3 linked regions of the Xenopus tropicalis genome follow. The protein of the gene in region 2 interacts with the protein of the main gene of each other region in a biochemical or structural test. Links are inferred from orthologs where the notes say so. Each region holds a gene or a part of one and is shown on either strand. Other genes may lie near its edges.

Region 1 (4,313 bases), about 18 Mb from region 2:
CATACCTGTACTGCCTTAAAAAGACCAGTGCATTAACCATGGAATCAAATTCTTACCAAAAATCTCTTTCCGGTAATGCCTTGCTTTTTGACCAACTTTTCACAATCACGAAGGTTGTGCTTTTAAAAGGAAACAAACATAAAGGCATTTAAAAAAAAAACACACACACAAATTAATTACATTTTCATTACATAGACATAGAGTAACCAACTCATTAAGAACTTAAGAACTGATTATACCTGATAATGACACAAATAACGGTTTATAACAATGTATGGGTATTCATATGATATACTGTATTCTATAAAATGGCTTTCTGCTGACTTCATATAGATTTTATGGTGTTGAGGTAATAATACCAAAGCAAATTAGGAAAGCATAGATTTAAATATAATTATCTCATTCACAAAAAATCCTTAAATCTCTCCTGTTTATACATGACACATTAATATTAAGGAGTAAATGATGGATGCATAGAGAGACTTTTATATATACAGCAGAACCCCCATTTTACATTTTTCAGGGGACCAAAAAAATAGTATAAAATCAGGAAAATGCTTTATGCACTATATAATGGTCGAACCACAAAAAAAGGGTATAAATAAGGAAAAACTTTAAATCAGGGTATGTAAAATTGAGTTTTTACTGTAGTAGTAAGTTTGCTAAAAAATATTTTATAATTTACTGATCTACAGGAGAAAAAAGTAAATGATTTGACAAAGCATTGATAGCATTTGAGATATTGCTTGTAGACTAGCATTGATGCTACATTAGTATTATTCTTTGGTCTATATAGTCAATGCAAATGTTGTTTGCGTGTGGGTATGTGTGTGCATTAAGATACCCACTATGGAACCACATTAACCACTGACCACAGGTGTTGAATATGTAGTGGACAACACTGCCAAGCTACAAGATATCTATTTCATTGCTGTTAATGGCAATGTGTTACTGAATATGTTATTCCATAGGCTGCTAGCAAAACAAGTAGAAATGGGACCTGTTATCCAGAATGAATGTCACCTGGGGGTTATTAGATAAGGGATCTTTCCGTAATTTGGAATTCCATACCTTAAGTCTATTAAAAAAAACATTTAAACATTAAATAAACTCAATAGGATTGTTTTGCCTCCTATAAGGCGTAATTATTTCTTAGCTGGGATGAAGTACAAGGTACTGTTTTATTATTACAGAAAGAAGGAAATATGTTTTAAAATGGGCCTTCCCATAATACTGAGTTTTTTGGATAACGGGTTTCTGGATAATGGATCCCATACCTCTAAAATAATGTAACATTTTTTAATGACTTGTGCATGAGACTACATTAATTTAAAGCCCAGTAACAACACAATTTTAAAAGAGTTGTGTCTGCATTTAAATATAGTGACCTGCCACCCTTCACTTGCCAATTTGCACATTTCATTCCAGGGTTCTAACTGAGTTTATATAAAGAAACTACTTTGCCAGCTGATATTCAGGCTTCAGTTGTGCTGTAGGCCCCCCATTTAGAATCCAACTGTTTTAAACATTAAGTAAAAAATAACAGGGAACGGGGGTAATTTATAGCTCACTACATGCAAAACCTCTCTCATGTAAAACAGAGACACATTCAACATTTGACGTTGTTGCCAAACCATTATAAGGCCTTTAAAGCATTTTGTCAAACATAAGCGAAGGTAAGAAACAGCAGGGAAATAAAAGGTGGAAGTACAGCCAGTAAAGGACATAGGGGACACAAAACATTAGTGAGCAGCAGTAAAAAGGCTACAGTATTCCAAAAAGTTCCAAATTTGAGCTCAGAGAGGTGCAGCATTACTTTTATTTTGCATGGCACAAGTCTAGCCTGAATGCTAACACATGGCAAGGGTTAAACTGGCTCATTCAGATGGAGCAAACATTGTGGCATCACAGAGCTTATATGGCACAAATGGTACAATATGGTTCATGCCACAATGTGTGAAACATCTAGATAAAATGAGCTGTGTCTGTATTTCAGCAGACAAATTGCATATGGGGTAAGAAGGACTATAGCTAGGCAGAGACAAAAAGTCCAATAAACAATTCTGTCAATAAGAGGCTAGAAGCCAAGAACAAAATAAATGGGTCCCTTCTATCAAGGTCTCACAATATTTAGGAGAGTTGGAAACTGAAAACACAACTTAGTTCTGAAAAGGAAACTACTGAAAAAAGTATTTATTACTGAAAATAAATATGTTTATTTTATGTACAAATCTTAGAATGCAAGTGGTAGAAATATACTAAAAAATATATACTTTTTCTTTTCTTAGATAATAACAGCTACAAAATGCGTATCATTAAACATTCCTGCTTGCATTCTAAGGTTCTAAAAACAGGTTCTAAATACTGTGTTGTTACTGGCATTAAACAGAGTCTCACCACCTCCTGTTGACTTCTATAGGAACCACTTGATACCGCTACTGCAGAAAGTTCTTAGCTCTTATGAGCTGTGTGTGTGTGTGTAAAATGTATAACAGCAGAATACATACAGTATATATATAGTTTTATATAACAGTACTTACAGCTCTAAAATATTCAATGAGAGCTTCAGGGCTCCAACAGCTGACTTCGGAACATGAAGGGATGCTTCGGAAATCCATGTTTTTTCTCTTCTTTCTTTTTTTTTACAGAACAGGTTGTTTCATATTAGTCAGTTGCCTTCACAGTATCCCTTTGGCCAAGCCAAGAAGTTTAAAGATGTTGTCTATTCCTGTGAAATTTGTAGTCAGTGCCTGCTTTAGTTAAACAATACAGACACAATACACAATGCAGCTTTTGCCATTCAGTTACACTGAATCATCTTTTGAAAATGCAACTTCCCCTTGGTGTGAACGTTCGCTTCTCAGAAAAAGGCAACTGACTTCCTGTACCACTTCCTCAAATGAGACTCGTTTATGGTGTTAAGCTGTAGCTACATTAAAAAAAATAAACAAAACAATTATTAATCATACTCCTTCCCTTACAGCACTATTAATAGGGAATTTATGGCGCATACTTTATTTAATGGCACACAATTCTCTATTAATTGTTTGTTAACTTTGGAACTGTATTCCTAAATACTAGGCATGAAATTACAATTCAGATTATATTGAAAAAATGCAATTTATTGGGAATTGTGTACGAAATAATATAGTTATTGAGGTAACAAAAAGGCATAATCCATGTCTGTGAGTTGCATCTGAGAATAAAGGTTTAGAGGGGTGTTAGAGCTCAGTGCTACTTCCTAGCTCTAATACCCCACACAGTAGAATGGTGTTAGACAGCTCCGAGGTGCATAACATATCCTGCAGAATAGACACCACATCTTGAAAATGTGATCAAATCCAGCAGGATTCCCTCGTCTGAATTTTAGCAAAGAGGCCACATCCATTTATTTAATAAAATAGAAGTAAGGGGTCTTTGCAAATTGCTCCCCTGGTAGTTACGCCACTAGTGACTGTGTTAATCAGCACTGTATTGGTGAGGGGTGGGAGGCATGTGGGTGTCCCCCCACTTGTCCCCCACAACCCTCTAATTTGTACATCATTCAAACTTGCAAAGTAAAGAGCGGCTTAAGGTGGCCATACACGGACCGATTTTTTACTTACAAACGACCGATTCGCGAACGATCCGATGCTATCGTTAAGTTATCGTATAGTTGGTGGTGTACGAACGATCGTCGGCCCACTAAACGAGCCGACATTATCGTCCCCAAAATCGATCGGCCAGGTTTAAAAATTTTGGTCGTTTAACGATAAAATCTGCCAGTTGGTGTGAGTGTCAGACATTTGTCTTTCAACGATTGTTCTCTGCGCATGTCACGATTGCCAGCAACGACATCGATCGTACGTAGATGTACGATCGTAGGTATTTTACGATAATGATGCGACAAAATCTTTCCCGAATTATCGTTGCCCGTGGATGGCATATCGTATGGGAACTCGATCGCCATACGATCGTTTGTCGATATAATCGTTCATCGCACAACGAGCGAAATCGCCTCGTGTATGGCCACCTTTAGGGCTGGCCTGTGCCCCATGGCGTAAGGCATTGACTACAAGGTTCTAGAACTTCACAGGAATAACCAACATCAATTTTTTGGCTCTACAAAAAGGATACTTCAATGGGGGAATGTAAAAAAGACCTAAATGGAAAAAAATGCATACAAATATGAATAACAATTCACATATTGCAATGTAATATTGATCATTAGACTGTTACTGCATTGCAAATTTGAATTGCACATTGCTAACTTTTTAAGGCATGCATGAAGGTGGCGTAATCTTTTGAAGCAAAAACAACTTTTCCATTAACAA
Region 2 (4,180 bases):
TAGTCACTAGCAACTTCCGGAAGAGGTACGTCACGTTACGTCAGCGCGCTTTCCAGAGCGTCCATTACCTGTTACTATTGAACAATGGCGTGTTACTGCGCAGGCGCTGGAAGCGTTTAACGTGGTGCCAACTGCAGGGGGAGCCGTGTGGCTTCCCAAAAAGAATGTTTTATAAGCAGTATATGTTTGGCTGGTTATAGTCTTTGTACTACTGGTTGTTGCTCTTAAAAGCAAAAACAAGCTGGTTTAAAAGATGTAGTGAACATGAGTCTGCTACAGTATAGGTTCATGGCTTTCTACCCACCCATAGAATTCAAAACAATTCCCATATTAAATAGAACATATTTGTAGGTGCTGGACATACATAAAACATTTTTTAAATGTTCATCTTTATTCTCTTTATGGTGTTTATGGTCTGGACCTTTCATTTTAAAATTGAGATACAATAATGCGTATTTTGTGTTTCTAGGGCCAGTGGCACAATGAGAGGTTCCATGTGGGAAATTGCTGAAATTACTTGTGGAAACTGGAGGGCAGTCTGTGAGAAGACTGGGAGCAGCCTATGAAGAGACAGAGGAGCCTGTTATCAGCATGTGAGGTCTGCCCCTGTCAGTGCTTTGAGAGTGAGCACTAAGGGAATGCTCTTGCTTTTGCAGCAGGGGTATAAATAAATGGCCCCTACAGTGTGGCATTGCCATGATGCTGAAGGGCCAGATATACTGCTGGTGTACAAGTATGCTTGGGAGCTGTGAGCGGTAATTTAGTGATGCCCCTGCTACAAGTGTAGGAACACTTAAGCCCCCCATACACGGGCCGATAGAAGCTGCCGATATGGGTCCCTTGGACCGATTCAGCAGCTAATCGGTCCGTGTATGGGAAGAAACGAGCGGCCTGGCCAACCGATATCTGGCCTGAAATTGTCCAGATATTGATTGGCCAGGTTAGAAAATCCAGTCGGATCGGGGACCGCATCGGCTCGTTGATGCGGCCCCCGAACCGACTGCCCCATGGCCGCAACTGTAATCCGATCGTTTGGCCCCAGGGCCAAACGATCGGATTATTTTTTTTTAAAGCAACTTCCTACCCGATATCGCACACCCGTAGGTGGGGATATCGGGTAAAGATCCGCTCGCTTGGCGACATCGCCAAGCGAGCGGATCTTATAGTGTATGGGGACCTTAAGGGCCGTGGTAGACGGGGAGATAAGTTGCCTGCGAGTAATCTCCCTGATATGCCATTCCACTGGCTTGAATGTAAATCGCTGGTGGGATGGCATATGCCTTGAGAGGAAACTTCCGCGATTACGGGAAATCACGTCACTGCATATGCCATCTCACCGGCGATTTACATTTAAGCCGGTGGGATGGCATATGGGGGAGATAAATCGCCCGCAACTAGGGAGATTTGTCACGGGCGACTAATCTCCCCATCTGCCACGGCCCTAAGGGACACAAAATCACACCTTTAGTGCACATTTTCAAAGCACTTGTGACAGCCTCTGGGTAGTTGTGTTATTAGGGGCATAGTGTTGCACAGTCATCAGGACCAGAATGGAATTCAAAATAGGCCCTGGCATTTTAAGTACATAAAGGCCCAAAACAGCCCTCTAAATAGTGACTGTCTATGATAGATTACAGCAGTCCCTGTGGCATATGCCAGACTCCACAGATTGCCAGTCCAGGCCTGTCATTTATAATGCTAAAGGGACAGATAGTCTATTGGTAGGCACAGGGCAAATATCCTGCTGTGGTATATAGTGCCAGAAAGTCATGCTGATGGATAAAGATGATATTGGAGGGATACACCACTGGGCAGACAACAAATGGAAGCATGGAGAGCTGTGGTAGGTGGATTGCTGATTTGGGTTGAGCTTGGGCTGGGTAATGCAAGCTTATTTGGGCATAATTATTGCTATGGAGGATGATCTGCTTTGGCAAGAGCTGAGTTCAAGTGGAGAATATTTGGCACGGCCAAAGCTTAACCAGCTTAACCAGAATGCTTGAGAGTCCCGGGCCACATGGTAAGTTCACTATATGACCCTACTTGGTGCAGGTAACTACAGGGAAGCATATAGTAATTAAAGTGCAAGTCTTGAGTCACTGCTGATTCTTTTTGGGGGGGGGGTAAGGGCTCACAACATTATTCTCTGCCCCCCAGTATTATGGCGCTATTTACTGACTATAATTCACCAATATGGTACTTGTGGCCCTCCATATTGATACATAAGACATGTAACCACTTTTGTAAAGTTACATAAGACATGTATGACTAAAGCCTTCGAAATATTTAGTCCATTATAAGTTAGTTCTTGTGCTTTTTTGTGAGCAATGCACTTGTTATTAAGGTATACAGCAAAGCAGTGGGTAGAAAAATGTGTGAAATGTGCTGGAGAGAGCCCCTGCTGTACACAAGCAACTTAATAGAAAAAAGAAGGATGTGGTTGAAGCTTGAGGTCATAAAACAAGTTTTTCACCTTGCTCTGCTCACTGATGTCTCGATAAGTGACTCCCCCGCTCTCTATGGCAGCACCCCTTCCCCTACTCTGCCTTCTTTTTGAGTATTTCAGCTAACAGTCTCATGCAGTCATGTGATTGTTCATCCTCTCTCTTAGAGTGTTTTCTTAAAGGACTAGGTGGTCTCATTTAATTTTTCTTGAAAAAAGTAAAAAACAAATATTTTCTATGTGATCTGCCTCGGGGTCTTCTGGTGACTCTGGGAACAGGGTCTGGTATCCCAGATGAATAACCCTGTTATCCTGCAACAACAGCTTATTAAGAAGTCCCAGCAGAAGAGAAGGACGTCCCCAGCTAACTACAAGTCCAGGATCTTCATCCTGACCCACTCTTCACTCAACTACTACGAGCATCGGCAAGGGGTGAGCGAATGTAGCACAAGGGTTTGTAGGGCATTAGGTTGGAATGTGGTTTCATTCTTTGGCTTCTTTGTTCACAGTGTTCCTACAAACAAGGGTCTGTGTGAATGTTGTATTGATATGAATGCTTGTGTGTCTTATTAGGGTTGGAGCTACATCCTTGTCTTTCTCTTTCTGCCCCATCTTACTCCCTGGGTTTTTCTCTTGTCTTTATCATACCAGTAAGGACCCATGTAGCAATGTTGGTTATATCCTTGACATGCGCTAAGCTTAGTGCTTCAGCAGTTTTGTCTTACTGTACCAAAGGACTTCATAAATATATTTTAATCTTTTGACCTCAGTACAAAACTGTGCTAACAGTGTTAACAAAAATGATAGGCCTCTAAATAAACACCTGCCTCAATATTGGATGTCCTGACTGCAGGCATATGCATTCATAACGCAAACCTCCTTGGGCTTTATTCCACTATTCTGATTCATAGTCCAGATAAAGTTATTTCAGTTTTATAACTACAACTTCCAGCATTCTTCTTGCTGGGGCATTCTTGCTGGAAGTTGTATTTCTCTAACAGCTGTTTCATCATTAGTTGCTTATATCTGCTCATTATCATAAACCATGTTACATTGTTTATTATGATATAGTAGAGTAACTGGAGGTCATTTAAGAAAAAGAAAAAAAAATTGCAAGGTGCAAAGCCAATCAGCAGCAAGTGCAGGCCAGCCCTGTCTTTACTGCCTGCCATACAGGCAGTTGCGTTTCCATCTGAAAAGTTTGTTTTTGTTGCCCTCCTGATGCAGTGGGCTTGGGGCAAATGTCTTTTCTGACCCAGCCCTTTGTGGTTTGTACCTGTATTTTAGTAATCATGTAATCATGTTGGCTTGAAGTGTATATTTTACAGTTATAACATTAACACAGTTACAAATTAAATGGTGGTGGAAAAAACACACATGTCCATCAATGTGAACCTTTTTGTAATTTCTGCCTTCTAGCATCTCCTGTTTGCCCTAGAGGGGGGGAAATTTTCTTCTTAACTACAAAAAGGGCAATCGAGCCAGTACCTGCATCCAGTGGTGTATCTACAATGTGCCTCAGGCACCCCTTCCCCATAAAAAAAATCTTTGGAGGGGCACGGCATGCAAAGCAAGCCCTACCTGGCCCCCGCATGCTCCTGTACCCTGCTCGTGCCACGTTAGGTAGGAGAGAGCAGTTGGGGAAGGGGGATTTCTAGCACCTACGGAAGAAGCAGATCCCATGGTCTGGGCCCCCCACAACCACATATAACCTCTATAAAGCTGTTAATTTTGGTA
Region 3 (4,113 bases), on a different chromosome or scaffold from region 2:
TTTCTGTATAAATTAATTTGGATGTTTTTATTATCTTTTAAACATTTTAGCACAACTGAGCAGTGGCAAGAATTTCAACCTCTTTTTTGGGGTATCCCCTACTAAAAGGCATCACAGCATAAAACAAAAGTGCATAGAGTGAACAACATTTTGTGTAGAAACCTACTGCCAAGTATATTTATTCTGTGGACAATCACAAAATCTATAGAAAAAAAACTTCATTTAATACGGGTATAGGACCCCTTATCCGGAAACCCGTTATCCAGAAAGCTCTGAATTACGGAAAGTCCGTCTCTCATAGACTCCATTTTAATCAAATAATTCAGAATTTTTAAACTGATTTCCTTTTTCTCTGTAGTAATAAAACAGTACCATGTAATTGATCCCAACTAAGATATAATTAATCCTTATTGGATGCAAAACAATCCTATTGGGGTTAATTAATGTTTTGATTTTTTAGTAGACTTAAGGTATGGAGATCCAAATTACGGAAAGACTCCTTATCCGGAATACCCTTGGTCCCGAGCATTCTGGATAATGGGTCCTATACCTGTACCAGGCAATTTCCACCCAGCTTAAAAAAAAAAAAAGACCAATTCCATCCATTCTGCGCAGAAGGATGGAATCCTCCCATCACCATGCTTATGGGGCAACATTTTGCCAGAAAATAAATCTTTTGCACTTTCTTGCCAAAGCCCAACAAATGCACACAGTAACAGGAGGATAGCATTACTTTAAGTGACTGCACAAGTGGGGCATATTGACATCAGCCTTACTAAAGGATGGACAAGAGTTCACCAGGGCTACCCTAAAATTGCAAGAAAGCTTCACTGTCACTGACAAACACTACTAATGCATTTCATTCTTATCCTTCTGATCTACCACCCCCCAAATCTGAACGGGAATACCCAATGCACAATAGAAAGAACAGAAATATAGGGTAATCTGCAGGGGAAAAAATAGCTACAGCCCTTCATTTTAAAACACAAGATTTGTAAAGACCAAGGAGTCGTGTGAGGATAAAAAAAAAGAAATCTGATTGGTATTATATAGACTTCAAGTTTACTTCTAAGTCTGTATTGGTATCGAGGCTACATTTGTAAAATTGAAACACTACATAGGAATAGTCGATCATTTTTTTTTTTCAATCATGCAAAAGACAACCGCACAACTAAGGAGTAAATGCATTATATTAATGCAGCTTATAACTAGGAAAAAATAAGCAAATGAAATCTTTGCCTTAAAAAAAGTCTTGGTTCAAGCCTTTGTGGTCCATCATAAAATCAAAGCACCCCTAGCTTCAAAAATACATGACAAATACTAACCATACAAATAAATGAAACTACTGACCAATCGCCATACTTCACTTCCAAACAGGTATTGCAAAGCAAACCAGTTTTTACACATATTGTAACCCCCACACAGTCCAATGCTTTAGCCAAACATATATATAGATCCTTTCATACAATACAATTGTAATCAATGTTAAAACTTTTCAGTTACAAGGACTGTTGGAAATGTTTAAGAAATGTTAAACATGTTAACATGTAGCAGAAATAAATTCTCTCTTGCACATACAATGGGGTTTATACCCTGACCTCCTCTAGACAAAGAACAGCTGCCAACAGAGGGAGGAAATCGTCAGTATCTCTCACAGAACAAAGAAGCTTTTATGTAGAAACCATGGGCAAACAGTGCCATTTGGATCTCATTCCCTTGCTACATCACAGAACTGGTAACACAGCATATATACATTGTACAGATTACCACAGCAGGTCACAATAAATGTACTCACAAGACAAAAGATATGAAACAAGCAGCTGCCCCCATATCTACTAATTTCCAAACAAATAAATAGGTAACCCTATTAATTTGTTTGTAGAACCACATGGTGACTCTACCTAAGCTGATCAGAAAACCCTGCACTACACTGATGAGCCCCAAGAAGGGCAAAACCGGTCTGTAGTTGGGAATCTGATCAGCTATTGTCCTGGCTTCAGCTTCAAACCCAGTGGGTGAGCTGTAGCCTACAGGATAAACCCATGTAAATGGGATTTTTTTTTTTTTTTTTAAGAGTCTGGAATTCATTACCAGAATTCCTTTTGTTTACTAATTTCCAACAAATTATTCATGTTTCCTAAAGAATAAGGACACAGCACCTTTTGCTATGTAAGGGATATATATTCTAATAAAGGGTAAACAGAAAGGCTGTGGGGGTCTGACTGAAGGCCATACAGTGTGATTTGGGGACAATGCATTTTCTCCATCAGATACTTCACGTTTAACATATCATTCCCTAAATATTTCTGAAACAATGATTATAAGACAACGCGGACTTCAATTAAAGGGTCTGGTCTTAAAAGGGATTTGGAAATGACAAAACAGTATCTAAGTCGGCCTGTATTGCACCCATGGGTTACACTGTGTGTAGCATCATACAGGGATATGCCTATGGGAAACCCAGTAGCAGCAACATTCGGAAGGCAGTCCCCCAATTTGTCTAACTTCGAACAGCAGCTGCAAAAACACGGCCGTGGGGGAGGGTTGGTCGACAAACCAGACACTGATCCACAGCATGCAGTGAGCTCAAAGCCGCCATTATTCTTTGCAACCTAACACACGCCACATGGCCAAGCATAGCAGGCCCGAATGCATAAAGGTGTTTTTACTCCAATCCTACTACCTAGGCCCCTGGCCTACTCCCTTTGTCCCCCTCACGCCAAACCCTTAAATGAATACACCCCGCCCGAGCCCGACTCACCCTTGCCCAGGAGGCTCATAGCGTGCGTGAAAGATGGGTCCAGGCTGTCCTTCTCAGCCATCAGTTCGGGTAAGTATTTGGTCTCGGTCTCCATGTTGCTCGGTTCGGTGTTACTGGTCGGCAATACGCTCAGTGCTGGTGTCGATAAGAAAATCCGCTCGCACTTGCACGGCCTCAACAAAAGAAGAGATCGTAGCTAGCACCGCCCACCGGAAGCAACGTAACACCACCTGGGGAGGGGAGAGCGAATTAAAACTGCGCGCTAGGCAACACGGGATTTCCGCTCCCCGTACAAAGAAATGAGACTTGAATGAAAGCGTAGTGTATTAAACATGGATTCTGTGTTTTGGATGGCTAGATACGTGACAAAAGATGGCACGTTGTTTCTACGTATAATGGAGTCTGGCTTGTTACTGTAAGACCGTAGCTTAATGTGACTTACACTGTAGGGCAGGGATCCCCAACCTTTTTTACCCGTGAGCAACATTTCAATGAAAAAAAAGCTGGGGAGCAACACAAGCACAAAAACTTGCCTAGTAGGTGACCAATAAGGACTCAGATTGGTTAATTAGTAGCCCAGTGTGTACTGGCAGACTACTAAAGGCTCTGTTTAGAAGTACAAATGGTCTTTATTCCTCCAAAACTTGCCTCCAAGTCAGAAATTCAAAAATGGGCACCAACTTTGAGGCCACTGGGAGCAACATCAAAGGGGCTGGTGAGCAACATGTTGCTCAGGAGCCACTGGTTGGGGATCACTGCTGTAGGGGATGAGGGGGGGCACAGTTGTAAAATCAAATGCCCGTCATTTAGAAAGGTTTCATGTTCTGAGTTTAGAACTAATTCTGGCTCCAAAAAAGAAACTTGCACGTGTGTAGATACGTTTCAGTGGCCTTGTAGCTGTAAATGTGTTCTCTTTGTATGTGTTCACCTATAAAGTATGAAGAATGAGACTACAGTAGAACCCCCATTTTAAGTTTTTCAGGGGGCCAGAAATAGATGGCGCAAAATCCCTGATTTTACATTTTCCCAGAAGTTTATTATTTATTAGTGGGACCAAAAAACGATGGTGTAAAATGCAGGAAAACTTAAAATCAGGGGATGTAAAATTGATGTTTCACTGTACTTGGCTGTGTGGTGTAATGCAAGTCTATGATTAGGAACCCTGTGTACCCAGAGAAAGTATTTATTTTAAGGACCTTGGTTCCTCCTTTTACTGGTAATTATATGGGCTAATGTGTTGGACATCTTATGTTCATGGTTATTCAGTTACAGTATATTCCCTAATTACTTTTGTCATTGCAAAAAAGGAGGTTGGCCTTTTATATAAGCTGATGCTGCATGGCTGATTATTA

The links.
Region 1: the proteins of itk (region 2) and lcp2 form a complex in vitro, tested with the Homo sapiens proteins (2 studies listed by BioGRID, with this or other methods). The link is inferred for Xenopus tropicalis from reciprocal best matches to the Homo sapiens genes ITK and LCP2.
Region 3: the proteins of itk (region 2) and khdrbs1 form a complex in vitro, tested with the Homo sapiens proteins (4 studies listed by BioGRID, with this or other methods). The link is inferred for Xenopus tropicalis from reciprocal best matches to the Homo sapiens genes ITK and KHDRBS1.

The regions. Positions count from the first base shown.
Region 1 is NC_030679.2:32,309,705-32,314,017, reverse strand, and holds the start of lcp2 (lymphocyte cytosolic protein 2), read right to left. Parts: upstream 2,807-4,313; 5' UTR 2,619-2,806; coding exon 2,541-2,618; intron 120-2,540; coding exon 57-119; intron 1-56. UniProt on the Homo sapiens protein: Adapter protein primarily involved in signaling pathways within T-cells, as well as other immune cells such as platelets, mast cells, and natural killer (NK) cells.
Region 2 is NC_030679.2:14,179,351-14,183,530, reverse strand, and holds the start of itk (tyrosine-protein kinase ITK/TSK), read left to right. Parts: upstream 1-1,321; 5' UTR 1,322-2,737; coding exon 2,738-2,875; intron 2,876-4,180. UniProt on the Homo sapiens protein: Tyrosine kinase that plays an essential role in regulation of the adaptive immune response. Regulates the development, function and differentiation of conventional T-cells and nonconventional NKT-cells.
Region 3 is NC_030678.2:86,521,143-86,525,255, reverse strand, and holds the start of khdrbs1 (KH domain-containing, RNA-binding, signal transduction-associated protein 1), read right to left. Parts: upstream 2,860-4,113; 5' UTR 2,856-2,859; coding exon 2,762-2,855; intron 4-2,761; coding exon 1-3. UniProt on the Homo sapiens protein: Recruited and tyrosine phosphorylated by several receptor systems, for example the T-cell, leptin and insulin receptors. Once phosphorylated, functions as an adapter protein in signal transduction cascades by binding to SH2 and SH3 domain-containing proteins.